Linked DNA regions of Oryzias latipes. The main gene of each other region encodes a partner of the protein of the gene in region 3 in a complex. Links are inferred from orthologs where the notes say so. Each region holds a gene or a part of one and is shown on either strand. Other genes may lie near its edges. The genes, in order: cep290, tmem67, b9d2, tmem107, mks1, transmembrane protein 216 and ahi1.

Region 1 (3,867 bases), on a different chromosome or scaffold from region 3:
GAGTAGTAAAGGAATTTCGGACACTACCCATATTTTTCTGAGGATTGCATGAGACACTGGCCTACACAGCGACCCAGACTTCACACTGAACGACCCAAGTGGGTTTTCCTGAGGTTTCTGTCTAAACCACAGACTTGCTGAAGGCACCACATGCTACAACCAAAACATTTCCAAGAACCTGAAGGTCCTCCAAGCATTGGTAAAGCTGGCGGTTGGCCAAGTTGAGCTTCCTCTGAGTCTCATCGGCCTCATCTCTGGATGGTAGCAGAACTCTCTGGTCCAGCTCTCTACGATAGAAATCCACATCCTGCTGCAGTTGCTCGTTCTGTTGTGGCACAGGAAGGAGGGAATTGATTTCAGGAAAAAGAGAGGAATGTCCTACAATTATAAACTAATGCTAAATAGCTATCTTTTCCACATTTCACTATTTGGATAGCGTTGTCTTTTGGACAGCCTGTACATGTCATGGTACACCTTCAACCTCATGGATTGCAGGACTGCCAACTTATTTATGCTAATGGAAAGGTAGTGTCAAAGCAAATACTGGAAGATTAAACACTAGCAAACTCATGCTAACCAAAACATTGTTTTACAACACATCACTCCCTAGAAGTCTTACCTTTTTCTTATGTTTTTTCAACTATACCGTGAAGCAGAAACCCAGAAGACAGGATGAGCAAAGACGGAGGATTTGAGTGAAGGTTTTAGGTGAAGTCATGACAAAGTATGAAGGGGATAAATCGTTATCTGAGCAATGTATTTCTGCTTCTGACATACCTCTCTCTTCAGCTTCTTCACCTCGTCTTCAGCTTCCTCTAATCTCTTCGTCAACTACGAAACCAAAAGCAAGGTTTAATACCAAATCCTTCATTTGCATTTATAGTTCAAATATTTGTCAATTTCTACACAATAAAATCTTTTCTGCAAGTTTAAATAAAGCTAAAAATATTTACCCATTAATAGAATATCAATTGGAAAAGTCGTATCAACAATTTCTTTTGGAGAAAGGCCAAAACAACATTTATAAGCTGATCATTTCAAAATGTGACTATCATTGGATTCAGAAAAGGTCACTGCCACATGTCAGGATAGAAGAATGTATTTAAAGGGTTCACCAGTGTAAAGTCCCATTTTAAACATTACAGAGGATCTTTAAAAGCTCAACTCTTCAGCCTGACTTCTATACGGAGCATTTGCACAATGGGTGGCACACGCTTACCTCTTGATTGGTTTTCTTTTCCTTTCCCATGCCTTTGTTTAACTGGGTCAAGTCCTTCTCTCGTTCCTCCAGCTGGGCCTCGAGCAGCCGAATCTCCTCTCTAAGAAAGCGAGCATCTGGCCCAGTGCCGAGCTGCTTTGCCATGTGGACCGGAAACAAGACAAACACAATCCCAAACAACTCCCACTGGGAAATCTTTTAGTCTTTCATCACCTCCATCTGTTTACAGGCCTAACATACAAGCTTGCCAACATTCTTGTTCCCTTTAACAGAGATTGACAATTATGTTTTAACATTTGGAGGATGACTGTGCATGCCATAGTCATTTAAAACAATCTAAACCAAAACACCAATCAAGTTAAAACAAGAAATGAATGTGCTGTGCGTGCATGGAATTAAATGTAATCTTCTTAGGTGCTGTGTCTCTGTGGTCACTACAGCCAATCCTGTGGTGGCCAGGGTTGCACTCTGTGATTGGCTCAAAGAATTGGCTCTGCTGCCAGAAGTAAATAGGCATGAAAAGTGATTTCACGTCACATGCATGAATGACGTGTTTTTATTTCTTTTATTTTGCCTTATTAAATTTGCAACAGTGGCTGCAGTCATGCTTGCAATTACAAAAAGAACATTTTAGTAGTTCTTGGAAGAACACAGAGCACTCTGCAGCAATGCACACATGAAGTGCAGAGGAACTAATGGACCAAACTAAACCTCAAAAGCCTTACTTACCTTTAGATCTTGTTCCAGCCTGGATATCTTTGCGAGGAATTCCTTCTCTAAGGGATACAGAAATTAAAAGCTGTGTTGTTTGTGTTTTTTAAGCTAAAAAGAAAGCAAGGTAGGTGAAACCGTGCACTGACCAGTTTTGGCATGTTGCATGCCGATCTCATTTATGAAACTATCACTGAGAGCAACTTCCCGATCTTTCCTCTAAAGGGAAAAGAGAGTTGACTTAAAAATGACAGGCACGTATCAATAATGGAGTCAGCATGTGTCCAAACAAACATCTGCATCAAGACTGTGTCTTGCACATAGAATCTTCTGTCTTCATAGAAGACATGCTGGTGGGGCAGTTAACAGATGCTCAATGTAGAGATCAAAGTGTAGAAATAATAAAACCTGACACCTTCAAGAGGGCCTGACACACCCTGAGGATGTGAATAATGTCCTCTGGAGCTTTATCCTTCACCTCCCATTCTTCTGTCTGTGTGGAGAAAAAATGGTTCAAATGGCAGAACTGCCAACAGCAGAGTCATTTTACATCATAATAAAACAAAAGTCCAAACTTAAACAGCGAGAGGTCAAACCAAGAGTGTCTGTTTATTTACAGCCTATAGGATTATTGCTACATACACACATTTTTCCCCAACTCATAGCAGTTTAAAGACACTGTTTATATTTTAAAGCTGAATCAGCAGCAGTGGGCTGCTATGTGAGATCTCCAGTGAGAGCAGGCAGAATCAAAGCTGCTGAGTGGGTACATTCTGCTGACTTAGCCAAACAGCTAAAGGTTGTCTTCATCCATCTATCCCACTCATCCGGGACCAGGTCGCAGGGGCAGAAGCCTTAGCAAAGGTACCCAGACTTCCCTCTCACAGGTCACTTCCTCCAGTTCCTCTGGGGGGATTCCAAGGTGTTCCCAGACCAGTCTCTTCAGCCTGTCCTGGGTCTTCCCTGGGGTCTCTGCCCAGTGGGACCTTCCCAGGGAAGTGTCCAGGAGGCATCCAGACCAGATGCCTGAGCCACCTCAACTGGCTCCTCTGGATGTGGGGGAGCCGCAGTTCTACTCCCAGCTCTCTCTGGGTGACATGCAGCCACCATGCAGAGGAAGATCCTTTCAGGCGGTTGCATTAAGGGCCTTGTTTTTTCGTTCATGACCCAGAGTTCATGGCCATAGGTGAGTATTGGAACAAAGATTGATCGATAACAAGAGAGATTCGCTTTTCAACTCAATAAAAAACCGACCATTGACTGAATAAGAGAACTGGGCAGAGTCAGTGTGACGTCACCCTTAGAAAATGGTTTAATTCCGGCTCCAACCTAATGCATTTAATTAAGTTACCATTTTTCACAATACGGTTCCACCAAGTCGGAGTCAGACGACGTCTGCAAGCAGTAGATTGAATGGTCCGAGTCAATCTGAGTCAATGTCTCTATGGCAACCACTCTCACCAATTAGGAGTACCGGTAAGCTTGTTAGAAGTCCATTCCCCTTTCACTAAAAGTGGGCTCGGGAAAGTCTGTCGATCATACATTTCCAACATTCGAGGTAGGGGCCAGTGGGCACCACATGCTTTTATTGAGGCATCTGATTGGTCTGTTTATTATGAAAATATCATTTTAAAAAATAAGGATTATTAAGAACATGTTAAAAACAAGGAGAAGAGAAAGAATAGTTATTTTGTCAAATAAACCTACAGAGTTTTAGCTGTTTATTTCTCATAGAAGTCTATGGGATTTTGGCTTCTTGGAGACCACAGTAACTTGCTGTTTGGAACGCAAGAGGGGAGGGTTTACTCAGTCCAGTTCTCAGTCAATGGGACAGAGAGAGCAACTGCTTAACAGCAGACACTTCTCCAATCTGCCTTTCCATCTCATACTCCGATCTTCTCTCACTCATGAACAAGACCCCACTATACGTCAACTCC
Region 2 (4,311 bases), on a different chromosome or scaffold from region 3:
AGCATTTTATGGTGATAATGTCACTGTTTTAAAAACCACAAAATTAATACATACAGTATATAAACGTTTGAGATTTGTCCAGAACAACTTCTGGGCAAACTCAAAGTTTGAACATTCCTGCTGAAACTACCCATTTACACTTTTCAATGACACAACACAATTTTATAACACAAAAGTAAATATTAACACTCAGAGATAAAGATATGAGGAAATACAACAAATCATACATGTTTAACTATTTTTATATTTGTTTGAATAATGAAAATCGGAGCAAAAGTTTAAAAAAGATTTCATAGATATTTGTAGATACAACAAGAATATAAGAAATTGTCAAATTTGTTTTGCCCTATACTAAAACAAAACAAAAAAAAAATCACTTTTTTATTGACTTTTATTTTTCATTTCCACTAAAGTAAAGATGACCCACTATGCAATATAATGAAAATCGCTCCGCTTTGTAAATCCCTAAATATTTTTATTTAACAGTGCAAATGTAGCACAAAGCACCTCCTCTCAGAAAACTAGAGTTTTCTATTAAGTAAAATATGTTAAATGAAATTCTCATGAATATTAAGTCTGTACTGTATATAATTACCTGTCCCCATTACTGTTTGGTGCAGTGAAGGCAGGGCTGTCTCCAATGCATGCTTCACAACTGGCCTCATCAAAAAATGTGCCATTAATGTCTCTTTCAACTGAGAAAAAGAAGAAAAATTTATAAAAGTTTTCTACCAAAAAACTTACAATTACCCTTATTTACAGCTTTTAGGGAAAACCCTTTTTGTTGGGTTGTAAACCTCTCATTGTACTGGTAACTCACCTAGGATATTTCCAGATGGGCACTGGCAGTTGCCATTATCATCAAGTCTGCCGGGGCAGCGAATACAACCAAAGCCGTCTTTCGTTACTGCCTATAATAAAGGACAGGACACCAATAAGCACTTTTATTTATATCAATTGAATCGGTTAGTTCAAAAGGGGTCCAAGTCCAAGAGGTTTGTTAATCCAGGAAATGATTTTAATTGCATAGCTTAAAGGGGGGCTACACTAAATGATTAATACTTTACCCAGATTTAGCACCAGTTCATAGCTTACAAATGCTATAATATGAAGCAGCTCACTTTTATAATTTCAGAGGACTAGCAAACTAAAGTCTCTGGACTTGGGCCCTTCTTGAATTAACCCTTGTGCTATCCTAGGCATTTTATCCTAAGGAGTTGGGTCATCTAGACCCACTAGTCAGTGCGCTGAACCTTTTCTCTTCAATTATTTTTGAACCTCACTGGTGTCCATCTAAGATAGTACAAGGGTTAACCCTTGTGCTATCTTAGATGACCCCACCCTTGCATTGACAGGGGCGCTGCCATATTGGATAATTAGTGCTGCCATCTATGGGATAAAGCAAAACCCATGCAAGAAAGGCCCAAGTTCAGGAATTTTGCACTTAATGCATTTTAAATGTCAAGTATAGACAGTACATTACAACGGACTTGGGACTTTTTGCACATAATCAGATAGCTTTTCCCTTGAAGACCATAGAACATATAATGTCTCTATTTTGAAAAATTGTGGACTTGGGCCCCTTTTGAACTAAGTGATTCAATTGTGAAGTAGTTTTAAAAAACATGAATCAGAACATTCATTATGAAAGAAAGCTATACTTACAGGCTTGTCTGGGGGACACTGTTCACATGTAAACGGGACTTTGTTGCTGCTAAAATGTTTGGTCTTGTAACCCGTTTGACAAATGCAGCTCAGACCTATATAAGACAAGACATTTCTTTATAGTTTAGAATAATATTGTTTTCAATGGTGAAAGGAAATACTAATATTTAGTTAAATAAAAATCTTATTTTAAAAATCCTTGCAACAACTATATTGTGCATTTTGAATTTAAATTTAAAAAGAAAGAAACCCAGAGAGGCTGGTTGATGTTTTGATGAGGGTCAATTCAGATTCACACCGTCTCTCTAGATACAACAGTATGTTTAAACAAATCATACATTAATAGTGCAATCCTATATGGCCTCTCAAAGCAGGTCCATATAAGAACAGTCAGTGTACATTTATTTAAACTAGTTTGAAACATTTATCAGTTTAGAATAAAAATGATTAGCTTTCCTGTTTCATGAAAAATGAAATGAGACTAGCTTGTTCTGAACATTAAAGCTGAACAGAGTTTGCTTGTTTAGCTTTATGCCATTTTTCCTATACAAGTTAGGGAATATTTATGGTAATTCAATTAAACTTCTAAAAATATGATTTTTAGACCACATGCTATAACATGTTCTTAAAGGTTAAGGTTTTAAACTTTAAATAATCTTAAATAGTCTATAATATATTAGTGTGTACATATTAAAACATTATTTGGATTAACAAAAACTTTCTTTAAGAATAATTTCTTTATGTACATGATACAGTAAAGTAAAGGCTATCTTAACTGCTAGCAACAGAAAACAATTAGAACCAAATTGGCTTTTACTTCTTCGAGGTTGTTCAACAGCTGGAGCTTAACTCGTTTGAATGTAATTATCTGTTTTTATTTTTAGATATATACACTAATGTTGGTATGTTTACAGTGTGTACACTGTATCATGTAGCTTTATCGCGTGGTGATCGATACCCACCTGAAGAACTCTTGCGTTGATTTGCGCCGCATTTGGCACACGACAAACTCGAGATGTCGAAAAATTCGTTCACACCACATCCGGAAGGATCTTTAAAGGGGATAAGAAACTGCTGGCAATGGAAAAGGTGCGTATGAATCACATAAAACAATGTAAAACAAAACATCTGCCTGTCAAGAACAAGCGGCGTCCCCGTCGCCATGGTAAAAATGTCCTCCTTTTTACCCACAATCCTTTGCAACACGTCATGACGTAGGGCGTTCCAACTTAAAAAAAAGTTTAAAATGTTCTTTTGGGGAGAGAACATCTTGGAGACACCGTGAGGATAAATAAATAAATCACTAATGTTGTGAAAGAATAAAAAAAGACAACTCTTAAACTCTTTGAAGTTCTTTGAAGAATCTCAAAGATTCATAGACTAAATCAAATAATAATGGTTTTCATTCATACTTTTAAAAAGATGTCTTAACAGAGGATAACAATAATGGGATTCTCTGTAACGAAATATAGGCAGCTCTAAGGATTAATGTTGCCTCTTCCAGCAACAATATATATATGTATGTGTATATTTGACTATAATACTTAACCTTGTCCACAAGTAAAAATAAGTATATTTTTGTGACTTTCGACTCAGTGATTTTAATTTTAGCTCTAGTTTTTTTCTTGTTTGTTGATGTTCTGCTATTGATTACATAGACATTCAGAAACAACAGAGACTTTGAGTTGAGCTGGGGGGGGGGGGGGTACAGATAGCAGAATGATCTTTACCAATTTGACCTCGTAGTGAAACAATTTTAATTGAAAGTTTAAAGCTTTCTTTTTCAAAGACCAGAGGCTATTGTGGATTAAAATCTAACTTTTCTTTTTCTGTCACTCATTTCAGCTGGTCCGTCTTTGGGTCACAAAGAAGTCAATTTATGACCCAGAAACACTTTGCTTTGCAGACGACATCTGCCTCCTCAAACCATCCACCCAGACATATCATCTTAGCCTCAGACTAAATTATTTTGCAATATTATTTTTTTATCAAGGTTATTGTGAAGGTCTATCAAGCTCCTTCCTGAAGATGCAATCAATGAAAAAAAAAACTTCAGCTTGGACCTGATGTTTTTTTGTCAGTCTCCATGCTGTGAAAATCTTTGTGCATTAATTTTATTTTGTAAGGTTTAGCATTTAATATAGAAATGTAACATTGATTCAGGTTTTAGAAGATTTATTAGCACATTTAAAACAGATAGCCAATTTTAAATCTAAATATCATAGATGTATACAGGAAATCTTTCACTTTTACTTCAACCAGGTTTAGTGTGACCTAAGATCAATTTAAGTTCATCACCAGTACTCGTCCATTTCAAGTACAACCACATCATGCCCCAATATGTGCAGCTTATTAGTGTGATTTATTGTTTATGTCAGACTTCAAAGCAGTTGCAGGGGCTTCAAGTGTATTATCACCCAGCTAACTTTGGTTGACTGTGTGACTTACTTTTTTTGCAGCATATTTTATACAAACCTGTGTTTTATTCAAAAATTATATATTTGATAACTACATTTCCTCAACAAAAGGCAAAATGGAAGCTGTGATTTTGATCAAAACAGATACAAGCATCATCTACCTCACCTTGTTTCCTCTTATTTCCTCCTCATTCTACAAATGAACCTGCACTGTTGGCCTCAGCTCTCC
Region 3 (3,017 bases):
CCTAGTAAACAACACAGGTTTCTTTATTTTGGCTTAAAACTGCATAATCATAATTAAAAGACCACTGGGAACGCTTTTACAATACATAAAAAATGATTAGAGCGCGTCTTTAGATCTTTTTCAAAGCTCTTTAATCTATTTTACAACATTGCCATTATTTGAGGGCTTTCTTTTTCTAAATTAGAATACACTTTAACTTGAGTTATTATTTTCTTTTGTTGCTATGTTACATTGCACATCACATAGATTTAAAGTTTAGTGAGCATCACTAATGCCTTTTACCTTTCAAGAGGAACTTGTATTTTGCATTTAAAATCAATATATCAGGATAAATGTCCTGTAAAATGTCATACTATTAGTAAGGTCATCAGTTTTGTGACCTTAATGAGAGGTCATCTTACTTGAGGATTTAAGGTACATTTTTTTTAAATATCAAAATAAACCAAAGTCTTTGCAAAACTGTCTCATAAGGGGAATGAGGGGAGGACTGCTAGAAAATGTTATTAAAACCAAGTTAAAGGTAAAAACTAGGGTACAGCAAAAAACAACCAACTTCGATGACAGTATTTTATTTACACATATTGGCATTTTGAGTGATAATTGCAATTTGAAACGTACAAAAACGTGGAGAAGCGTCATGTGTAAATATAAAGCACGTGCCAGTTGAAATGTCATGGGTTTTTCGGAGTTGCTCCGTCATGTCACGCATCAGCTGTCGACACCATATTTGTCAAAGTGTCTCATAATTACACCGAGCTCCAGCTCCACAGTTCCCATGGCCTCGGTCTGCAGTCGGTATCTGTCCGCTCCGCTGTAGATGAGGTCCGGACTGCGGAGTTGTGGACCTCCGCCGACAAACATTTGGGTGATCTGTTCCTGCCAGGAACCGAGCGGCCTCCACGTCACACACTCTATCCGGTGGGTTCCGGGGCTGCACGGGACGTGGCAGTATCCGTATCCGTACAGCTGGCAGCGCCCGAACGAGTCCTGGTGCCACACTTGGAGGTGTAGCTTCGGCCAACCTTGCAGTCCTTTAGTTGCGAACTGTAGATCGATTGGGTGACTCCAGTAGGCCATATTACCCGTTTGGGGGATGTCCACTTGGGTCTGGCCCTCCTTCAGCCCAGAGAGAAGCCGCCATGCTCCTCCAGTATGAACTCCCCATTTGCAAAATAGACTATTTTGCGGAAAGCCTCTGGCCCCGAGGATTTGTCCTATAATATGCAGCTCTGCCATGTTACAACAGCCTTCTTTGACCAAAACATACGACTACAAAAAAGGCTCCTCCACCCTTCGCCAGTAGTTGCTAGCTTAGCGGCTAGCAACAGCCGCCGCACACGTCTCCCTGGCAACACAAACCGGTTTGCCGTCAGCGCTAAGATTTAACCCTCCTTTCTGACTGTCAGGCACAGCTCTCTGCTTAATGTGATTCCGTTTCTTACAAAGCAAGATAATAGGAAACCACTGGCGGGAAACTCGTGTGTCCCGTTACTAACCAGATTTTATTTTGGGGTAAATAGTCGGTGAAGGACAATAATTAACCACAATATTATACATTTGTATCCTGAAAAACTATACTCAGGGTTAAAGTTTCATGGTGTCTTGTTTTCATTTTTGTTCTAACTTTAAAAAGTAAACTTATACCTGCTCATTTCAAATACATTTTTTTAAATTGCCTTTGTCTGCATGTGTGTGTTTTAATTTGTATCAAACTGGAGGAGGTTACAGTGCCTCATATCAGAACACAGGAAAGAATAAAAGGAAATAGCCCCTTCAGTGGCTCTACTTTGTAGTACTCTGCAATGGTGGTGATATAGTTCTTTGCATTTATCAGCGAATACATTGCTATGTCATAATTTACGACATATAATCATAATAAATGTAACCATGACCATTTTTCTATTGTGATCAAGAGTGCAAAACAACATAGGTCTTTTGTGTACATATATATTTTATGCATTCTTAATGATTTTGATTGTTTTGTTGATTTTATTTAATTGTCCTAATGTGTTGGCTCACCCAAAAACACTTTTGATGCTTGAACCTATAGCAACAAACTTTTATTGGTTTTTTCAGGTTATTAAATACATTTTTTTCCTTGGGCTGATTTGGTTTTCTCTCTTTTTCTTTCAAATAGTCTGATCCCACCCTTGAGAGGCATTTCAAGGGTCACAGGGGTGCAGTGACGAGCGTAGATTTCAGTTGCAATATGAAACAGATTGGTGGGTATCTTCTCCTTGATTTTCCTAATTGCCAAAGTGTTTTTACGTTCAGCAAAGTCATTTTCTTTCTTGTCTGTGTTTTTTATTCTCTCAGCCACAGGTTCTGTGGACTCATGTGTAATGATCTGGAACATGAAACCTCAGATGCGAGCTTATCGCTTTGAGGGCCACAAAGACGCAGTCACGTCTGTGCAGTTTTCTCCATCGGGTCACATGGTCGCTTCGGCCTCCAGAGACAAGACTGTACGTCTTTGGGTTCCCAGCATGTAGGTTTTTTTTTCAATTTGTCATTTTGTTTACCGTTACTTTGTTTATCCTTCATAACAATAATGCCTCATCAGAGTAACAAAGCTGAAATCACTGAATGCCACTCATCATTTTTAAGTCAAAACTGGTCAAACCCACTGAGTTTTGTTTGATTTTCATTTGTGGTGATGTGTGTGCTTACAGAAAGGCGGACTCAACAGAGTTCAGGGCTCACACCGCCGCTGTGCGTTGTGTTAACTTTTCTGACGATGGACAGACTCTGGTAACAGCATCTAACGATAAGACCATCAAAGTGTGGACCGTTCACAGGCAGAAGTTTCTCTTCTCCTTCAACCAGCATGTCAACTGGGTTCGTTGTGCCAAGTAAGAGACACACTGCAGATGGATCTCTCATAAATGAAAGTATCGTGACACTTAATATTGGCAGCAAGGCATGACATAAAAAAGTGCCAGCATTCAGTCATCTAAACCTAAAGGCCGTATCACACTGCCACTATGTACATTTGGCAGATTTTCCACGTATGACAT
Region 4 (4,367 bases), on a different chromosome or scaffold from region 3:
GAGCTAAACACATTCATTTGAAGACCTACAGCCAGACACTGATGTGTCAGTTGATGATGATGCTGCACCACATCGGCGGCTCCATATTTTTACATAACAGTATAGTCATTTGAGTGCTGAGGCCATCTGTTTCTTTTCTCAGATGTGAGGGGGAAAAAAGCTCCTGAAAGGCATCCTAACCTGAGTCATGTTGAATCCACTTCCCTCACCTGTTCTGAGGACCCGCTCCAAGCGGTCAGGAGTCCTGGGTGTGGGTCTGTGAGTTTGGCGTGGGGACCGAGTGTTCGGCGAGGAGGCTGGTGATCTGGGTTCCGGAGGGAGGTCTGGAGGAGGGTAGCCTCTTTGTACCAACACCTCGGCCGCGCACAGCAAACACACACTGTGCTGGCATGGCAGGAGGACGGGCTGCTTCACGATCTCGTCACACACCGGGCACAGCAGCTCCTTTTCCATCATCTTCATGTTGGACTGGAGAAGAGGGAAGAGGAAAGTTCAAGAAGACAACAGAGCTGCGACTTGATTTAAAGAAAGGAAATGATGGCAGTGATGAAGGAAATATCTAGATGAACTCTGGTTGTGTGCCGTTTATTGCACAGGACAAGAAGGAAAGAAGAACGTAACCTCCATGATGCTTAGCAGTCCTCCTGTGATTGCTTCACTGCTTCCTATTTCTAAGAGTAAATTGGCTGAGACATTATTTTTAATAAAAAAAAACAATTCAAACAATGCAGAAACATTCTGTTTGCCATTGATTGTTGCTTCTTTTTTTTTTAGGTTGTGGTGGCCCCTTTCCATTACTGCAGCCACAAGGCGCGGCATCCGGTTTCTATGACAACGCACATCTTCCTCTGGCCCTGATTTTATGCTATTTGGCAACATTCTTAGGTTCTTATATCTATTAAAAATGAATTATGTGGTCGTTGCGACTGTATATTTTCTATTGCCATTCACCACCTGACTGTGGCTTTCAGCCTATTCCGGGTTATTAAAGCGATGACAAAACATGTTTGTAAACGGTAGAAAAATGCTCCGCATTCTTATTTCATAGCCATGATTGTCCAGATCAACATACTATCAATAAAGCAAGTTATATGTAAGACTACATTATTGTTTTTCCTCTCTTAGATGTAGCACGTTTGAAATGGCTATATTAGAATAAACCGGCGTCGCACACTTACACTGATACGAACCAGCGCGTCCATGACAGAGGTAAAGGTTTGGAAGTCCTCTTCTGCCATGCTCTGTTGTTCTGATGTGCACGCTTCCAAAGAAAAAATGTTTCGTTTAAAACGATTATTAAGTGGGTGTGAAAAATAATCCCCGGCTGTTTTGTAGCAAACACTAGGCCCTGACGTGCACAGATAGCTGTGCTTGAGGTGTGCTGCTCAATCTCTGTCGTCTATCCAAATGCGAATGGAATGGTTGCTGAAACTGGTGGAGGGGGGTGGGGGCGTTTTGCCCCAAAATGTTAGCTTTATCGGGGAGCGTTTAAAAAACATTCTTTTAGAAAATAAAAACAAAAAAAAATCGGCTTTTCTACGTTCTTTAGATACGCGAGGCTATGTTCATCCTACAATCACACGTTAACTTTGTCATGTTTTATTTTTGTGTGTGTGTTGTCGTTAGATGCTAGTGTTGTGTGCTGCTTAACAACAAAGGCGATGGGTCGCATCCACTTCCCTTTTGTGTCCGGAACGTTTGGAAGGTGGATGTTTTTACGGGTCGCAATATTGGATGCACCCAGCCACTGGCTGTTGTAGCAACCCAATGCGACACCGGGGTGTGTTAAATTTCTATGTATAATTTTGTTTAGAAAAAAGACTATTAAAGAGTAAAATTTTAATTTTATAAGTTCATTGGCTTTAAAAATGCTTGATTATCATTTTTGGATTATTTATTGAACCGCGGTTGCGTTGATATACCGCGAACCAGGAGCGACGACTGTTGTGTGAGATCTGTGAACTCCAACGTGACCGTTTGGCTTTAAAATTTAGAATTTTCTAGCATTTCTGACACTTCTGTGAACCAGAAACAACATGTCTTCTATTAGCAGTCTAATTCCTGCGCGGTTTCTCACCATCATAGCTCACCTTGTCATCGTCATCACAATCTTTTGGTCCAGGGTAAGTAAGGACAGTCCGTGTTGTTGTTAAAGCTTGAAGGACGACTCAAGCTGCCATAGAAATATTTTTTATTATTATTATTAATATTATTATTGTTTTTTGTAAATATCAATAACGTGTAGTTTGTGATTTTAAAATAAAGAACAAAAGTTTTTAAAAAAATCGTGAAATAGAAATAAATTCTACTCCACAAAATATTTTTCCTAAACTGCAGAAATATAGATTTTTGTTTGCTGCAAAAAGTTTATTTCTCCTTTTTTTTATAAACAATTTTTTATCTAGAAATGTTACCATAATCGGCTATTTTATGTATTTGTTTCTGTTTTCTAGGAGAATAATGTGAAGGCATGTTTGCCTTTGGAGTTTACTCAGGAGCAGTATGACACAGAAGACAGAAAGTAAGTAACAAATGATTGAAAATATATGAAAAAATCTTGAATGCTCACATTCTAACCCGCATCCCTTTGGTTATTGTTCAGGTTGGTTGTAGCCTTGTCAGCCACTCTTGGTCTGTTTGCTATCGAGCTAGCAGGCTTCTTTTCAGGAGTCTCCATGTTCAGTTCCAGCCAGGGTCTTCTGTGTATCCTTTATACTGACAGTGATGATTCATATTTGTCATGGTCATTGATACTGAACTATTGATTCACAATTGTGAGGAAAATAAAGATTTTCAGATATTGTCTTTTCTCCAGCAGCTCTAGCTTCTAAATGAGCATCTGGTTTATAGCAGAAAACATGATTTACAAGAATAAATGAATGGATTAAACAATGCTTATTAGTCATTAGTTACAATTCCGTAACTAAGAACTTGTCTGCTATAGCAACAGGAGTCCATGCCAGTGCCTCTGTGGCTTTGCTCTTTTTTCTGTTTGAGCAGTGGGAGTGTGACATCTACTGGTGGATCTTTGCTATTTGCAGGTTAGTCTTTTGACGCCTAGCAAATCCGTTTTATCCTTTTTTCCCCAAAGTTTTCCCTGACAGCTGCTCCTTTCAGCATTAGCTGTCCACTGCTCCGCATCCGTATCTTTGTCTTTCTTTGTGTTTGAACAATGGGAATGCTGGACTTACTGGGTGATTTTTGCCACCTGCAGGTTGGTTCGCCTGCATGCTTGTTTTCAATGAATAGTTGGCTTTTAGAAAGACAGCATACTGTAACAGTCACTCTTATTTTGAAGGAATTTGAATGCATTTAAGGATTGTTCTTTTATCTTTCTGGATTTCTATTAATTTCTTTTTCTATTTCTCATCTTTCAGTGTCTTGCCAGCTTTTGTGGAGATTCTTCTGTTTATTGCGGTTTTTGGACTGAAGAAGAAGCCGTTATGAAGAGGAGTTGATTCAGATTGAATGGATGAACGCTTCCATTTGTTGCTACAAGACAGTAGCTGCAGAAATTCAGTTATTAGATCACCTTAAAAAGGGGCCAACATTGTTAGAATTTCTTCAGCAGGCATCAATAGATCCAGAAAGAATGTTTTTTTTTTCAATCTTTGTAAATATATTTTGAACTATGTAATTACAAAAAATAATTATACTATGTTGTTTGTTTTGAATAAGTTGGAGAGTTAGCAAAAGTTTAAAATGTAAACCAAGTTTTTTGTTGTCAGTAGTGTATTTGTTTCTCATGTAAAGCTTTTCAACGCTAAATCCAAAATACATTTATACTTTTTTAAATAAGTCTTATTTCTCTCATTGTATCTATCTTTATCCTCATTTGGTGACTTAATTGTCAGAGAAATATTAACCAAACTGAGCCAGAAGATAAATTAAAGTCGGGCGACAAGAGTATCCAGAACCGCAAGGTTACAAAACATGAAACAGTAACTTCATTTTTGTGCAGCTATCAAAAAAAAGAAACAGTATTTAAAATTGATTTAGGGAGGAAAAATCCTTTCCTAAATTATTAATGTAGTGAGACATGTTGTAATATAGAAGAATTATGTCTATGAAGACTCTCTTTCATCCAGGTTGATTCCATCATAGTAGTAAGTTTAGGGGCTGTCCTCTTAGTTTTTAAAGTTAGAAAACGTTTCACCTCTTATCCAAAAGACTTTGTCAATTTTGTAATATAGGCTAAAAAAGAAAGGTTTTTTGACGTAATGATCCCTCCCTTCTGCTTTTCTGCATGCAGCTGCGGACAAACCATTGCAGTTGTGATAAACAGAATCAGGCCCTGCATTTGGTTCTGGAAAACACAAACTGAAATGGCCAAAGTATCAAATCCCTTTAATTCTGTAAATCTTTTG
Region 5 (3,867 bases), on a different chromosome or scaffold from region 3:
CTGGCTGCGGTTACGTGAGCCGGAAAATAGTCCAAGAGGTCGAAGACGTAGGTTGGTCCTGTGCTTGGTGGGGAAAAAGATGGAGAATCGGGATATAGATGGTGAGTTCACGATCGTAGGAAACTGGAAAACTTCCTACTGGAGTGCAGAAAAGTGGGCGTGTGAACATGAAATCAATTTTTTTTTCATGATTTGGAGCACAAACTCTGACCCAACCGTTTATTTTAAAACAAAAATGAAGCTTAATTAATGACAATTTTTTAAGCCATGTTCATGTTGGTGTTTTTATTTGCTAGTTGTTTTGTTGTTTTAAACTATCAGAGCATCTTACTTTTAACAAGTAAACGTGCAAGACTGCAGGTGTTTATATTATTGATAGTTTAAAAGAAAAAAATGCAAATTACAATCTTTTTTACATAGTTAAAGATTAAATTGCAAGCACATAAAAGCCTTTCTAACCTAGGTCAGTGTTGTAAATCCTCATAAAATCAAAGAACACGTTCTCTAAAAATAAAATGCATTAGTTTCTTAACTAAATGACGCTTCACAAAAGATAAAAATCTATTTTTTTTTCATTTGATATTCACTGAGAAACAGCATACAAACAGCAAAGAAATCAATTAAGCTTTATCAAAAGCCCATTAGGGTCAACTACCACAATCCATGAAACCAATACTTTATTTTTCACCTGTAACTTATATACAGTGTGGCTTCAAAATTATAAAAATGACATAAAAAGTTGGGTTTGTTTTAAAAAAAAAAAGGATGTTGCTTTAATTAAAATAACAAATGTATAACAACAATGAAACTTCAAATATTTTGTAGCAAAAACATTTATTTGTAGAATTATATGCAATAAAATGCAAAAACTACCCCAACAAATTAAAATCAGCTGATTTTTTTTTCCTGACAGTAATCCTGAGAACATGATCTCTTTTAGCCAAACTGGCATCGTTTTTAAAATCCTATTCTGAACCAAGCACCATTCATCCCTGTATCAAGTATAGCAAAAGAACAGATGCATAAATTGTGCATAGGCTGATCAAATGAGAATGACGAGATCCTTAAGACCGGCTCTAAAAAGAAGGAGAAGACTATAGAGATTGCTTGATTTGTGAAAAAGATGTTTCAGGAGGATTTCAATTTCTATTTTTACAGTAGACTGTAACAATAGTTTTGTACTGTTAAGGGGCAGATCAATAATAATTTAACTGAGTTTAAATGAGAAAAAAGCTAAATGTCTTTAACTGAAAGTTGGTATGGTGCTTCATGGAACCAGGTTAAAGTAAAGCAGCAGAGGGTCAGGTAAATTGAGATTAGCTCTGAGAAGATCCTTTTGAGGGACATGAAGCAAGAGTCTCTGTTTTGCCCCAAATAGACCCGTTGATGTAGGGAAACGACACAAAGGCTTTCCTGGTTAGTGGCTAATTCAGCTTCATTCTGTTAATCACTAGGCTATTTCTGACAGTAAAAAGTAAGCTTTAGTAGATTTAAACAGCACCAGAACATTTCTCGTATCTGCGTACATCAGTAGGTACTGGCAGAACATGAGCGCAGCAGCTTCTGTAGAGGGCAGGAGGTGAAAAGCAGCTTAGAACTTGTAAAAGAGTTAATTGCAACAAAAAAAAACTCCCGAGTGGATTTTCAACAAGTTCCTTAGCCATTAAAAACTGCTGTGAAATTTGCCTGTAGTTTCTAAGGCAGGTGTGGTCACTTTTTCCACATTTTGGTGGATTGATGTATGTTTTGCATCATTACAACCTGACAAAGTGACTTATTAATCCTTAAAACATGAAATGTTCCACAGATGCTCACTGGACCGGTCACTAGAGAGTCATCTTTGCAAAATTCTGAGTCTGTGCCAGGATCTTCTTCCACTCAGTCCCACTGAAAGTTTGGTTTTCAGTCTCATGCTGAGGATTCCTGTTGGAGTTGGGAACCAGTGTTTATTACGCCTCTCGGAAAACTTTCTCTGGCCTCCTGCATCTTTTTCCTCGCTCTCTGAAAAGCCTCTGACAGAGAAAAACATGAAACGTGTTAAATGAAACTATTATTAACATTTAAATACAGCACATTTTAAATCCTAATTGCATCCCAATAGCCCAACAAATGTTGATCCCTAAATAAAGTTCAGACCTCCAGAATTTCAGTGCAAAGAGGCTTGGAAGTCAAATGGATTTTTTGTTTTTTTTTACCCAGAATGTTGCAAACAGCTCCTTGTTGACTAAATCCTCCCAAATGCTCAAAAACCTTCTGTCTCCTCCTTTTCAGAACAGCAGCATCCACAAATGCCCTGAAATGTACACACGGACACAAAAGACCACTGTAGTTATGTTGCTGGCAGACTGAGACCTGTTTGACGCTTACCTGACACTCACCTGGCTTGCTGGATGCAGTGCAGGTTAAAAGTGACGCTTCCTGTGGTTACAGTGCAGAAACCAAAGCGACTCAGCCTGTCCCCCTGATACAAAAATGTTAGAGAATAACAACAAAAAACATACACATACTGTAAATACTAAAACACCTTTGTTTCAATCATGTATCAAAAGCAAGTCCCTGTTTATCAAAAACCCAAAGAAATCATTTTTTTCAAAGTCTGTTGGTTATTCTGATATTTGCACTCCGTTAAATGGTTTCCACCAGAATGTCACAGTAAATGCAAATTATTGATTTTTTTATTCAAAAGTGTACAATTTAATTCAATATATAGCAGCAAAAATTAAAATAATCATCAATTTGTTTTCAGATTTCTATCCTAAGTCCAATTTTTTGGATTACTTAAATAGTGATTTAAAAAAAGAAAACGTTTAATTTTTGCTTTGACAAATAATATTCACAAAAATGTATTTCAGAAATGGAAGAATCAATAATTTTATTGAAGTTAGGATTGACTCAATTTCAACTGACAATTGAAACCCAGCTGCCCAAGGAGTATGTATCGATAAAATCACAACATATTTATTTAACTTTATACCTGATAAAAATCAACATCAATTGTCTAAAACTTTGTTTGAGCCAGCTTTGATTCACCTTGAATGTTCCTGGAGTTCTGACATAACTGTCATCTTCAAGCTCAGCAGAACCTCCAATAAAGAAGCGCTTCATTGCAGACACAGTCCCTGTCTGAACAGGCCTCCATGTGTGACATGTCATGGTATGTTTACCTGGTATACAAACACAAACAAGATGTAGAAACACTAACCATTTAGAAATCCCTTGATTAAATGTGAACAGTAACAAAATAAACTGAATTTAAATGAGATTTCAGGAAATACATCGTACCGGGCGTGGCAGGAAAAAGCAGATAACCATAGCCTTCCGTTCGATAGCGCTGCCAGAAGTCCAAGGAAAGAACCTTGAAGTAAATCACTGGCCACTGAGGAATGCCTTCTAAAGTAAGATAAAACCTGGATTCATAAAACATAAACTATGCTATAATACTTAACAGCTGATACTAACCTTCACCGTCTTTTTGCTTCATATAAAGAGCCTCAAAAGTGAAGGGATAGCTGAAGAAAGCCACATCTTCCTGTAGACGGAGAGTTTGTTGAGGGTTTAACAACTTCCACTCAAAAAAGTGGTTTAGTCTCTTACATGCAAGTTGTTTCTCTTTCGGCTTTTCCCATCAGGGGTCGCCACAGCGAACGAGCCGCATGGTAAACTTGGCAATGTTTTACGCCGGATGCCCTTCCTGACGCAAGCCTCTCAAAGCAACCGGGCTTGGGACCGGCACAGAGGTAGAGAAGGGAACAGGGAGCAGCCCGGATTTGAACCTGGGTTTCAATTCAATTCAATTCAATTCAATTTTCTTTGTATAGTCCAAAATCACAACAACAGTCGTCTCGATGGGCTTCGAAGTAAAACATG
Region 6 (4,377 bases), on a different chromosome or scaffold from region 3:
CAGATTGACTCGTCTGCGTTTCTGCGCAGATGGACCCGTCTGCGTTTCTGCGCAGATGTTTCTGCGCACTGACAGCTGAGGGACGGCCTCGTGATTCCTAAGAAAAGAGGACGGACAGCCTTCATGCAAACACAGATCAAAGGTTTTCCAGCTGAAACTCAGACCTGTGGAGGTTCTAGTGGCCCGTGGCCGGCTTCATCTGATTTTGGTGACACACAGAACTCACAAAGCTGCAGAAAAATGTTTATTTACAAAAATCCCTGAAGAATCACAGAAACTTGTGTCAGCGGCACATATGCTAACAACTGTCCTGGTGTCCCTCTGGGCTCCAGAGAACCGCTCTTCTGTCCTCAGTACACCTTGGACCTGCACAAGAACATCGAGGGTCAAAGACTTCCCGGCTCTCAGAACCGGCCTGCGGGCTCAGGGTACCTGGAGAAGGAAGATAAGGCGATGAATCCCAGCAGGAACTCCAGGCCGTAGAAGCAGAGCAGGACGGCGCAGAGCAGGAACTCCAGCCGCAGAACGAAGGTCTGCAGCAGCAGGTAGTAGACGGCGAGCGCCGCACAAGAGACCAGGATGAAGAGCGACAGGCAGGAGGTCAGGGAGCGCTCACACAGGTTCCCCTTCCAGCCTGAATCGACACAGGGGGACAGCGTCAGCGCCTGCAGCCGGCCTTGAGAACCAGCACAGAGCCTGAGCGGCTGAACGCTTCGCCGCAGGTTTGAGTCTGATGTTTCCAGGCAGCAAACGTCTGCAGAGATGCTTTAACCCCTTCATGCCCACTGGTGCAAGGAAGAACCACTCCTCCTCAAACCGACTTTCATTTAGCCTCAACTTGAAAGCAAAAACACAACTGATCATTTTTTCATAGCTGGATATAAATTCTGGCGTGGGGGGGGGGGGGGGGGGTCATGTCACTTCCACAGACAGAACCCTGGAACCCAGGAGGAGAACCCTCCACCTCCGTCTGGGAGGCCGTCCAGGTGAAGAGTGAGAACGCTCTCTCCTCATTGGACCACCGCTCAGACGGGCGTGGAGAGGTTCTGCACCGAAGGTTCCGCTTCAACAGAACCTTCAGAGGCGGAGCTCCGAACACAACGATGAAGGTCACACATTCACACACGGAACCAAGCTTCTTCCTGCTTTGATCTCCAGCATCATCATCGTTTACACATCCCAGCATGCCTTTCATGCTCTGAAGTCCTTTTTAAATCTGAAAACCACATTCTTGGTCTTTCTGACACTTCCATGCTAGCATAGAACCGTGATTGTTCTGACGTTAGCTCATCCAGCACCAATGTCAGGCCCGTCTGCATCCTCTTCATCCTGCATGTTCCATCTTTGTTCTCCAGAACCTCTCAGCCGCACTTGCGGTTCTGGAGAAAGCAAAGCAGATGTTTGTGTTTGGCGTCACCGTAAAAGATGCGCAGAGCCTCCAGAGCGAGGAAGAGGAGCAGCAGGACCACATCCAGGACCAGATTGTCAGACGGGTACGGCAGCAGGATCCCTGCAGCGACACCAGCAGCAACCGTCAGACGCTCCTCCATGACGTCCAGCAGAGGAACAGAGGACAGGCTGGAGGTTCTACGACACCTTCGGCTTCATTCTCAGGTGAAGCCGTGGTGAACCTGCAGGGGGGCGGGGCCACACACCTTTGTAGATGAACATGAGGATCTCCGCCAGGTAGAAAGCGGCAAAGTACCAGCTGTTCAGGTAGAGCAGCACCTGCAGAGGCGTGGAGGACAGCTGAGGAGGCGTGGTCAAGGACAACTGCGGCTGGTGGACAGGCCCCGCCCCCTCTGACAGCAGAAGGATACGATTGGTCGGCTCCCTGCAGACGCGGTGAGACAAAAATGTTGTCAAACTGAGAGTGAAACTGAACGTGAGGCTTAAGAAGCGTTTAGGAGACGTGACGGTTGTTGGACCGGATTATCTTTAGCTTTAGACGGTGGTTTAAGAACGTTTCAGAGGTAAACACCGAGTGGGAATGTTTTTAGCCGCTAACCGGAAATCAACGGCGGACCGGAAGTGTTTCCGTCCGTCTCTGATAGCTGCAGAAAAATGACGGGGAAAGACGGCCTGCGGTTTTTGCGCCGTTCTTTCTGCGACGATGATAAGAAAACACTCACCAGGCGCCATGTTTGAGCCGCTGTGGTCGCTATGGAAACGGCTCTTCTTCCCTGGACAGCGTCAGGCGGGGCTCCGTGCTGCCCCCTGCTGGTCAGGATGAGCAAACAGAAGACACTAATATTTGAAACAATTTCACATTATTTTATTAATGGATGTTCTTCAGTTTCACCACTGAATCACTCTAAATACATAATTAGTCGATGTTACCTTTTATCATCAATGGTCTGAAATCACGTGACATGCGGGTTTCTGTTGCTGTTTCCTGTTGGACCCTCAGAGACCTCATTTAAAGAAAATAACTGTTCTTTCTGCGACATCAACATAGAAACACTTGATCATCTGTTTATTAAATGTATAAATACTAACAGGTTTTGGGAGGATTTCTTTTGGTGGTTCTCTTCAAATTTTCTTATTTCTATTTGGTTACAAAACACATTGTATTACACATTGTATTATTTGGAGTCGTTTCTGGTGATAACTTATTTAGTTTGGCATTTAATACTTTATTAATTTTTGGGAAATTTTTCATCTATAAAAGGCAGATTTTTACAAATCAAATCATTATTCAATACATTTCATAAAGAGATCTGTTTATATTTTAAATGCAATAAAACTGTCAATTTTCATTGAAGATCACATGTTAAATGACAATCCCTAGTTCTCTGAACTACGGTTCTAATGTTATTTATTTATTTGTCTTGTATCTTACTCTTTTTTTCTTTTGTTATGTCTTTCTATTGTAGTTACATGAATGTGTAATCCTTTGAAGTTGAATTAAAAAACCCACAGTGACTCCAGGAGGAGGAGGAACCTTCACAATCTGGTTCTGATGTCATCCGCTCTGCCCAGCACACAACTACAATACCCAGCTTGCCATCGCAGCGCTCTGATTGGTCGAAGGCGCGCCAGGGTTTACGTGGCACTGCTGCGGACGCGCAGACTCCGTCTGAGCTCGGTGGTTCCGGCTGGAAGACGGTTCGGTCCGGATCAGCATGCAGCCGTGCGTGTTGGCGCTCCTGCTGCTCGCGCTCTTCTGCAGCCGCGCGCCCGCGCTCTACTTCCACATCGGAGAGCTCGAGAAGAAATGTTTCATCGAGGAGATCCCGGACGAGACCATGATCATCGGTGAGCGGCTAAGCTAGCTGCCGCGCGGCTAACGCTCACAAAGTTCCGGTTCGCCGTCAAAAAGTTTCCCAACGCCGCCAGAAGTAGTTAGTGAACCGTTTGATGAACGGAGACGTTGGCGAACACCTCGTAGTAGAAGTTGGTGAGGATGTAGGATCGGTCTTTTACCGGGGAACGGAGGACGGTTTAAGCTAACTTCATCCTATCAGCACGCGGATAACAAACCAAACCGCCTGAAGAATCCAGCCCGTTCCCCGAACCTAGACCAGGAACCCAAGCGGTTCTCCTGGAGAATGGGCAGGCAGCTCCTCCAGGAGGAACCAGCAGGTGGAGGTCCGGACCAGAGTTGATGATGGTTCGTTCTGAAGGAGCTGTCTGGGACCGGTCGCTCCCTGAGGTTCCTGCAGAACCGGGAAAGCGGGTCCAACGGTCCTGACCAGCGCGTCCAAGGACCGGAAGTGCTGCGTTCAGCCGGATGTTGTCACTGACTGTGGGGCGCTTGTGTTTGTGTGCAGGAAACTACCGCACGCAGCTGTACGACAAGCAGAAGGAGGAGTACCTGCCGGCCAGCCCGGGTCTGGGCATGTTTGTGGAGGTCAAGGATCCTGACGAGAAGGTAAGCGCCGGAGGAGGTCCTCCTGACACGTTAGTGCCGTGATGCTCACTTTGAGGAAGGTCTCTTCGTTAGATGGTCTCTGTAACCACGGCAACCGCGTCCTGACCTCCGTAAACATCCAGAGGAGGACTTGGAGCTGCTGCTGTTAGTCTTCTGTGGAGGTTTTGGTGGAGTGGACTCTAAGCTCCTCCCTCGCCTGCAGGTGATCCTGTCTCGGCAGTACGGCTCGGAGGGACGCTTCACCTTCACGTCGCACACGCCCGGAGAGCACCAGATCTGCCTGCACTCCAACTCCTCCAAGTTCTCCCTGTTTGTGGGAGGAACGCTGGTGAGGAGGCGGTCGGCGTAAGCTCCGCCCCTTTACCTTCACACCCACGGCTTTAACCGCCGTCTGTTTGCCGCAGAGAGTTCACCTGGACATCCAGGTGGGCGAACACGCAAACAACTACGCCGAGATCGCCGCCAAGGACAAGCTGACGGAGCTGCAGCTGAGGGTCCGGCAG
Region 7 (3,278 bases), on a different chromosome or scaffold from region 3:
CACGGGGTGAGCGTCCCACCACAGAATCGCTGCATGTCTTTGATGTTTCTGGCCTGAAGTGTGGTCGTCTCTTACAGAATGTTTTACGGCCCCATTGTGGGCGGCCTTATCACCCAACATCTGACCTTTGAGTGGGCCGCCACCATCCAGGGGGGCGTGGGCCTTCTGGCTGTGAGTACTCCTGACTCTGCGGGGGTGGGTCCTCATCTTTGACCCACTTTGAAGGAGTCATGAATGTGATTAGCTCTGATCAATCATTAACCCTTTGTGCAGTGAAGCTGTCTCTGTCCACAGGCCCTCCTCCTGGGGATGTACTCCCTCTGGGAGCGCCGGCGGGGGAGGTAACGTCAGATCCATCATCAGGAATCTTCCTCATCAACCTGAAGTCTGAGAGTTTCTGTCTTTGCAGCGTGCAGCAAACAGCAGAAAGCACTCCTTTGCTGGACTGAGGAAACATCTAGGGGCGGGGCCAGCCGCTCTGCTCACGGAGAGAAGATCTGAACGCCATTCCTGCCAGAACGGGCCTTTGTCCGGAGCTTTTCCTGCTTAACAGCTTAGGTCTGGTGAGCGGGATTATTCCCCCAAAAACCTCCAGAGAGCGGACAGGAATCCTGTTCACACGGAGCCGCTTGTTTCACGGGTTTTTACTGTAAATAGTACAAAATAAAACTTTCCTGAACACAATGTTCTTGTTCCTCACACAAACACCTGCAGCCTCAAACACCAAAGATCTTTGGGTAATTTCTGACGGAGAACGCAGCAATAATGCTGTGGAGTATTAGTGACATCAGAACGGCTCTCTGGGTTTGTCCACAGTTTACGTGTCGGCCTCAAAGGCCCTGTTGGACCTCCCCGCTGGTCTCGGTGGCAGAGGTCTGCCTCTTATGGTTCTGGTCGACCCAGAAGTATCTGCGTCAGAAACTGTAGTCTGAGATGAAGACACAGGAACTCCAGGCTTTTTCACCTTCTTCTTTCTTCTGGTTCTGCTTTCAGGAAAGAAATGGATCCTTCAGGAACTCAGCCAGACATGTTTGTGTTGGGGTAACTGGATCTGTGTGGTTCTGGAGGATATAGGAGCTTCTTACCTGGCGTCAGTCAGTTCTGGTTCAGTGTCTGACAGAGTGGGTTCGGACAGAAACCTGAGCTCTCCGGACGAGCTGACAGCAGCAGAGACCTGAAAACCAGGAGGGGGTCAGAGAGGAACAGTTCAGACAAAGTCCGTCTTTAGATCATGACATTCCTGAATGATCCGGATCGGCCGTCTTCCTGTTAAATATAAGCCGGATTTCAGGAAGATGGTCTTTGTTCAGCATGAAGTCAGTCAATACTTTAGTTTGCATTAACATGAGCAGAGAAGGCAGAGTTTGGTTCATGTCTAATAAAAAAAGAAACTGACCATCTTCTGGTCTGTTTTCAAAGGCTTCCCAGAACGGAGCGAGCAGGGAGCTTGTGGCCCCGCCCATTTCACTTGCTGCTCAACAATTTGAATATAGAAATACTCAGATATGCATTTTAATCTTCTTTTATGCAAGTTCTCCATTGTGAGAAAAGGCCACCAGTACATGTTAAATCACCGATGCCATCGGAGTGGGTCTTTGAATCAGAAAACTACGGTCTCGCCAACAGATTACAGAATATGTTCAATATATATATTAATATATGTTAAACCGGTTCATGGCTGGATGCAGAGCCGATGGTCTGTGGTTGATCTTTAACGGTCAGATCTATCATTTGTTACTTCTGTAATCACCACTTTAACTGCCTGATGGGAAGTTCTCAAAGGGTCCGGACCAGTCCAGAACCACCCAGACATCATATAAAATATGATGATATGATAAATATATCATATATCATATATAAAAATGTTGCACTTCCCGCTCGGCCAGCAGGGGGGCGTGATCCTGCTGGATCATTTGATTATTAATGGAAGCGTCTTAACATTCCAGGAACCAAAACCAAATGTACTCCTGTTGAGGGGAGTTTGTAATGTGTTTGTAAAGTGTGAATGAACCCACTCACTGTCATAAGCACACCCTGGACCTTGTTCTAACCCATGGGATAGAGATCAGCCAGCTGAGTGTCCTTCCTCTTAACCCCATCATTTCTGATCACTTTCTGATTACCTTCCAGTTTACACTGGAACATCCTTCTGTCCCAGTGAATAAGAAACAGCTTAGAAGAACCTTAACTGACCGTTCTGTGTCTGAGTTTAAACACACAGTTCAGCCAGTACTTAGTGATATTCTGAGAAAATACTCTGAGACCAGCTCCCATAGTATCAGTCCTAGTATAAATGACCACTTTGTTAATGATGCCTTACAAGCCCTCAGGAGTACACTCCATGTTGTTGCCCCCTTGAAACCTAAGTTTGTTAGACAAAACCGAGTAGCACCGTGGTTTAACGCTGAAACTCGTTCTCTTAAACAAGAAACCCGTAAGTTGGAAAGAGAATGGCGCCGCTCCGGTTCAGAGCAGTCTCTGAATACCTGGAAACATAGCCTATTAAATTATAAAAAAGCTCTGCGTAGAGCTAGAAGCCAGTACTATTCAACCTTAATATCAGAGAATGGAAACAATCCAAGATTTCTTTTTAGCACTATAGCTAAATTAACTCGCAGTCAGAGCTCAGTAGAACCACATGTTCCTGTTTCTCTCAGCTCTGATGATTTTCTTACATTTTTCGATAGTAAAATCTCAAATATTAGACATAAGTTAAATCAAGTTATTCCTACTATCAGCCCAGAACAGGCTGAAGCGGTAGAAATGGAGGCATCCATAGAAACCTCTGTAACATTGGACTGCTTCACTGCTGTGGATCAAGCGGAAATAACATCAATTATTACGTCCTCCAAATCCTCAACGTGTCTGTTAGACCCAATTCCCACTAGACTTTTTAAAGAAACTTTTCCCCTAATTAATGATCCCATATTAACAATGATAAATACCTCTCTGGAAACGGGTTACGTGCCACAGTCTTTTAAATATGCAGTTGTTAAACCTCTACTGAAAAAGCCCAGTTTGGATCCTAGCATCTTGGCCAACTATAGACCGATATCAAACCTGCCCTTTATTTCTAAAATCCTAGAAAGAGTTGTAGTTAAGCAGCTTTACTGCCACCTACAGGACAACAGCCACTTTGAAGACTTTCAGTCGGGGTTTAGACCTCACCACAGGACGGAAACTGCACTAGTTAGAGTCTCTAATGACTTGTTATTGGCCTCAGAAAAGGGACTACTTTCTATTCTGGTCCTGTTGGACCTCAGTGCAGCCTTTGACAC

The links.
Region 1: b9d2 (region 3) and cep290 share a complex: the UniProt entries of both Homo sapiens proteins name them as parts of the tectonic-like complex. The link is inferred for Oryzias latipes from reciprocal best matches to the Homo sapiens genes B9D2 and CEP290.
Region 2: b9d2 (region 3) and tmem67 share a complex: the UniProt entries of both Homo sapiens proteins name them as parts of the tectonic-like complex. The link is inferred for Oryzias latipes from reciprocal best matches to the Homo sapiens genes B9D2 and TMEM67.
Region 4: b9d2 (region 3) and tmem107 share a complex: the UniProt entries of both Homo sapiens proteins name them as parts of the tectonic-like complex. The link is inferred for Oryzias latipes from reciprocal best matches to the Homo sapiens genes B9D2 and TMEM107.
Region 5: b9d2 (region 3) and mks1 share a complex: the UniProt entries of both Homo sapiens proteins name them as parts of the tectonic-like complex. The link is inferred for Oryzias latipes from reciprocal best matches to the Homo sapiens genes B9D2 and MKS1.
Region 6: b9d2 (region 3) and transmembrane protein 216 share a complex: the UniProt entries of both Homo sapiens proteins name them as parts of the tectonic-like complex. The link is inferred for Oryzias latipes from reciprocal best matches to the Homo sapiens genes B9D2 and TMEM216.
Region 7: b9d2 (region 3) and ahi1 share a complex: the UniProt entries of both Homo sapiens proteins name them as parts of the tectonic-like complex. The link is inferred for Oryzias latipes from reciprocal best matches to the Homo sapiens genes B9D2 and AHI1.

What each region holds. Positions count from the first base shown.
Region 1 is NC_019864.2:2,329,306-2,333,172, forward strand, and holds part of cep290 (centrosomal protein of 290 kDa), read right to left. Parts: intron 2,424-3,867; coding exon 2,346-2,423; intron 2,150-2,345; coding exon 2,080-2,149; intron 1,996-2,079; coding exon 1,949-1,995; intron 1,352-1,948; coding exon 1,220-1,351; intron 832-1,219; coding exon 778-831; intron 641-777; coding exon 620-640; intron 326-619; coding exon 179-325; intron 1-178. UniProt on the Homo sapiens protein: Involved in early and late steps in cilia formation. Its association with CCP110 is required for inhibition of primary cilia formation by CCP110.
Region 2 is NC_019874.2:17,683,232-17,687,542, reverse strand, and holds the start of tmem67 (meckelin), read right to left. Parts: upstream 2,863-4,311; 5' UTR 2,830-2,862; coding exon 2,628-2,829; intron 1,761-2,627; coding exon 1,666-1,760; intron 912-1,665; coding exon 821-911; intron 696-820; coding exon 596-695; intron 1-595. UniProt on the Homo sapiens protein: Required for ciliary structure and function. Part of the tectonic-like complex which is required for tissue-specific ciliogenesis and may regulate ciliary membrane composition.
Region 3 is NC_019863.2:10,016,675-10,019,691, reverse strand, and holds b9d2 (B9 domain-containing protein 2), read right to left. Parts: upstream 1,403-3,017; 5' UTR 1,237-1,402; coding exon 709-1,236; 3' UTR 554-708; downstream 1-553. Other genes in the region: poc1a (POC1 centriolar protein homolog A), read left to right, coding at 2,138-2,222, 2,317-2,488, 2,673-2,852. UniProt on the Homo sapiens protein: Component of the tectonic-like complex, a complex localized at the transition zone of primary cilia and acting as a barrier that prevents diffusion of transmembrane proteins between the cilia and plasma membranes.
Region 4 is NC_019874.2:18,549,377-18,553,743, forward strand, and holds tmem107 (transmembrane protein 107), read left to right. Parts: upstream 1-1,729; 5' UTR 1,730-2,036; coding exon 2,037-2,123; intron 2,124-2,453; coding exon 2,454-2,521; intron 2,522-2,602; coding exon 2,603-2,703; intron 2,704-2,944; coding exon of another isoform or gene 2,945-3,041; intron 3,042-3,117; coding exon 3,118-3,214; intron 3,215-3,377; coding exon 3,378-3,447; 3' UTR 3,448-3,799; downstream 3,800-4,367. Other genes in the region: tripartite motif-containing protein 46, read right to left, coding at 210-468, 1,179-1,238. UniProt on the Homo sapiens protein: Plays a role in cilia formation and embryonic patterning. Requires for normal Sonic hedgehog (Shh) signaling in the neural tube and acts in combination with GLI2 and GLI3 to pattern ventral and intermediate neuronal cell types.
Region 5 is NC_019872.2:25,021,601-25,025,467, reverse strand, and holds the end of mks1 (Meckel syndrome type 1 protein), read right to left. Parts: intron 3,530-3,867; coding exon 3,460-3,529; intron 3,391-3,459; coding exon 3,283-3,390; intron 3,165-3,282; coding exon 3,031-3,164; intron 2,462-3,030; coding exon 2,379-2,461; intron 2,294-2,378; coding exon 2,196-2,293; intron 2,013-2,195; coding exon 1,909-2,012; 3' UTR 663-1,908; downstream 1-662. UniProt on the Homo sapiens protein: Component of the tectonic-like complex, a complex localized at the transition zone of primary cilia and acting as a barrier that prevents diffusion of transmembrane proteins between the cilia and plasma membranes.
Region 6 is NC_019868.2:30,553,079-30,557,455, forward strand, and holds transmembrane protein 216, read right to left. Parts: upstream 2,891-4,377; 5' UTR 2,341-2,890; exon of another isoform or gene 2,218-2,340; 5' UTR 2,143-2,217; coding exon 2,133-2,142; intron 1,835-2,132; coding exon 1,821-1,834; exon of another isoform or gene 1,750-1,820; coding exon 1,656-1,749; intron 1,632-1,655; exon of another isoform or gene 1,551-1,631; coding exon of another isoform or gene 1,511-1,550; coding exon 1,418-1,510; intron 635-1,417; coding exon 433-634; intron 367-432; coding exon 351-366; 3' UTR 231-350; downstream 1-230. Other genes in the region: transmembrane emp24 domain-containing protein 9, read left to right, coding at 3,126-3,258, 3,774-3,874, 4,077-4,202, 4,279-4,377. UniProt on the Homo sapiens protein: Part of the tectonic-like complex which is required for tissue-specific ciliogenesis and may regulate ciliary membrane composition.
Region 7 is NC_019880.2:267,326-270,603, reverse strand, and holds the end of ahi1 (jouberin), read right to left. Parts: intron 1,397-3,278; exon of another isoform or gene 1,175-1,396; coding exon 1,086-1,174; exon of another isoform or gene 994-1,085; intron 987-993; coding exon 818-986; 3' UTR 630-817; downstream 1-629. Other genes in the region: MFS-type transporter SLC18B1, read left to right, coding at 1-6, 78-171, 295-341, 410-449. UniProt on the Homo sapiens protein: Involved in vesicle trafficking and required for ciliogenesis, formation of primary non-motile cilium, and recruitment of RAB8A to the basal body of primary cilium.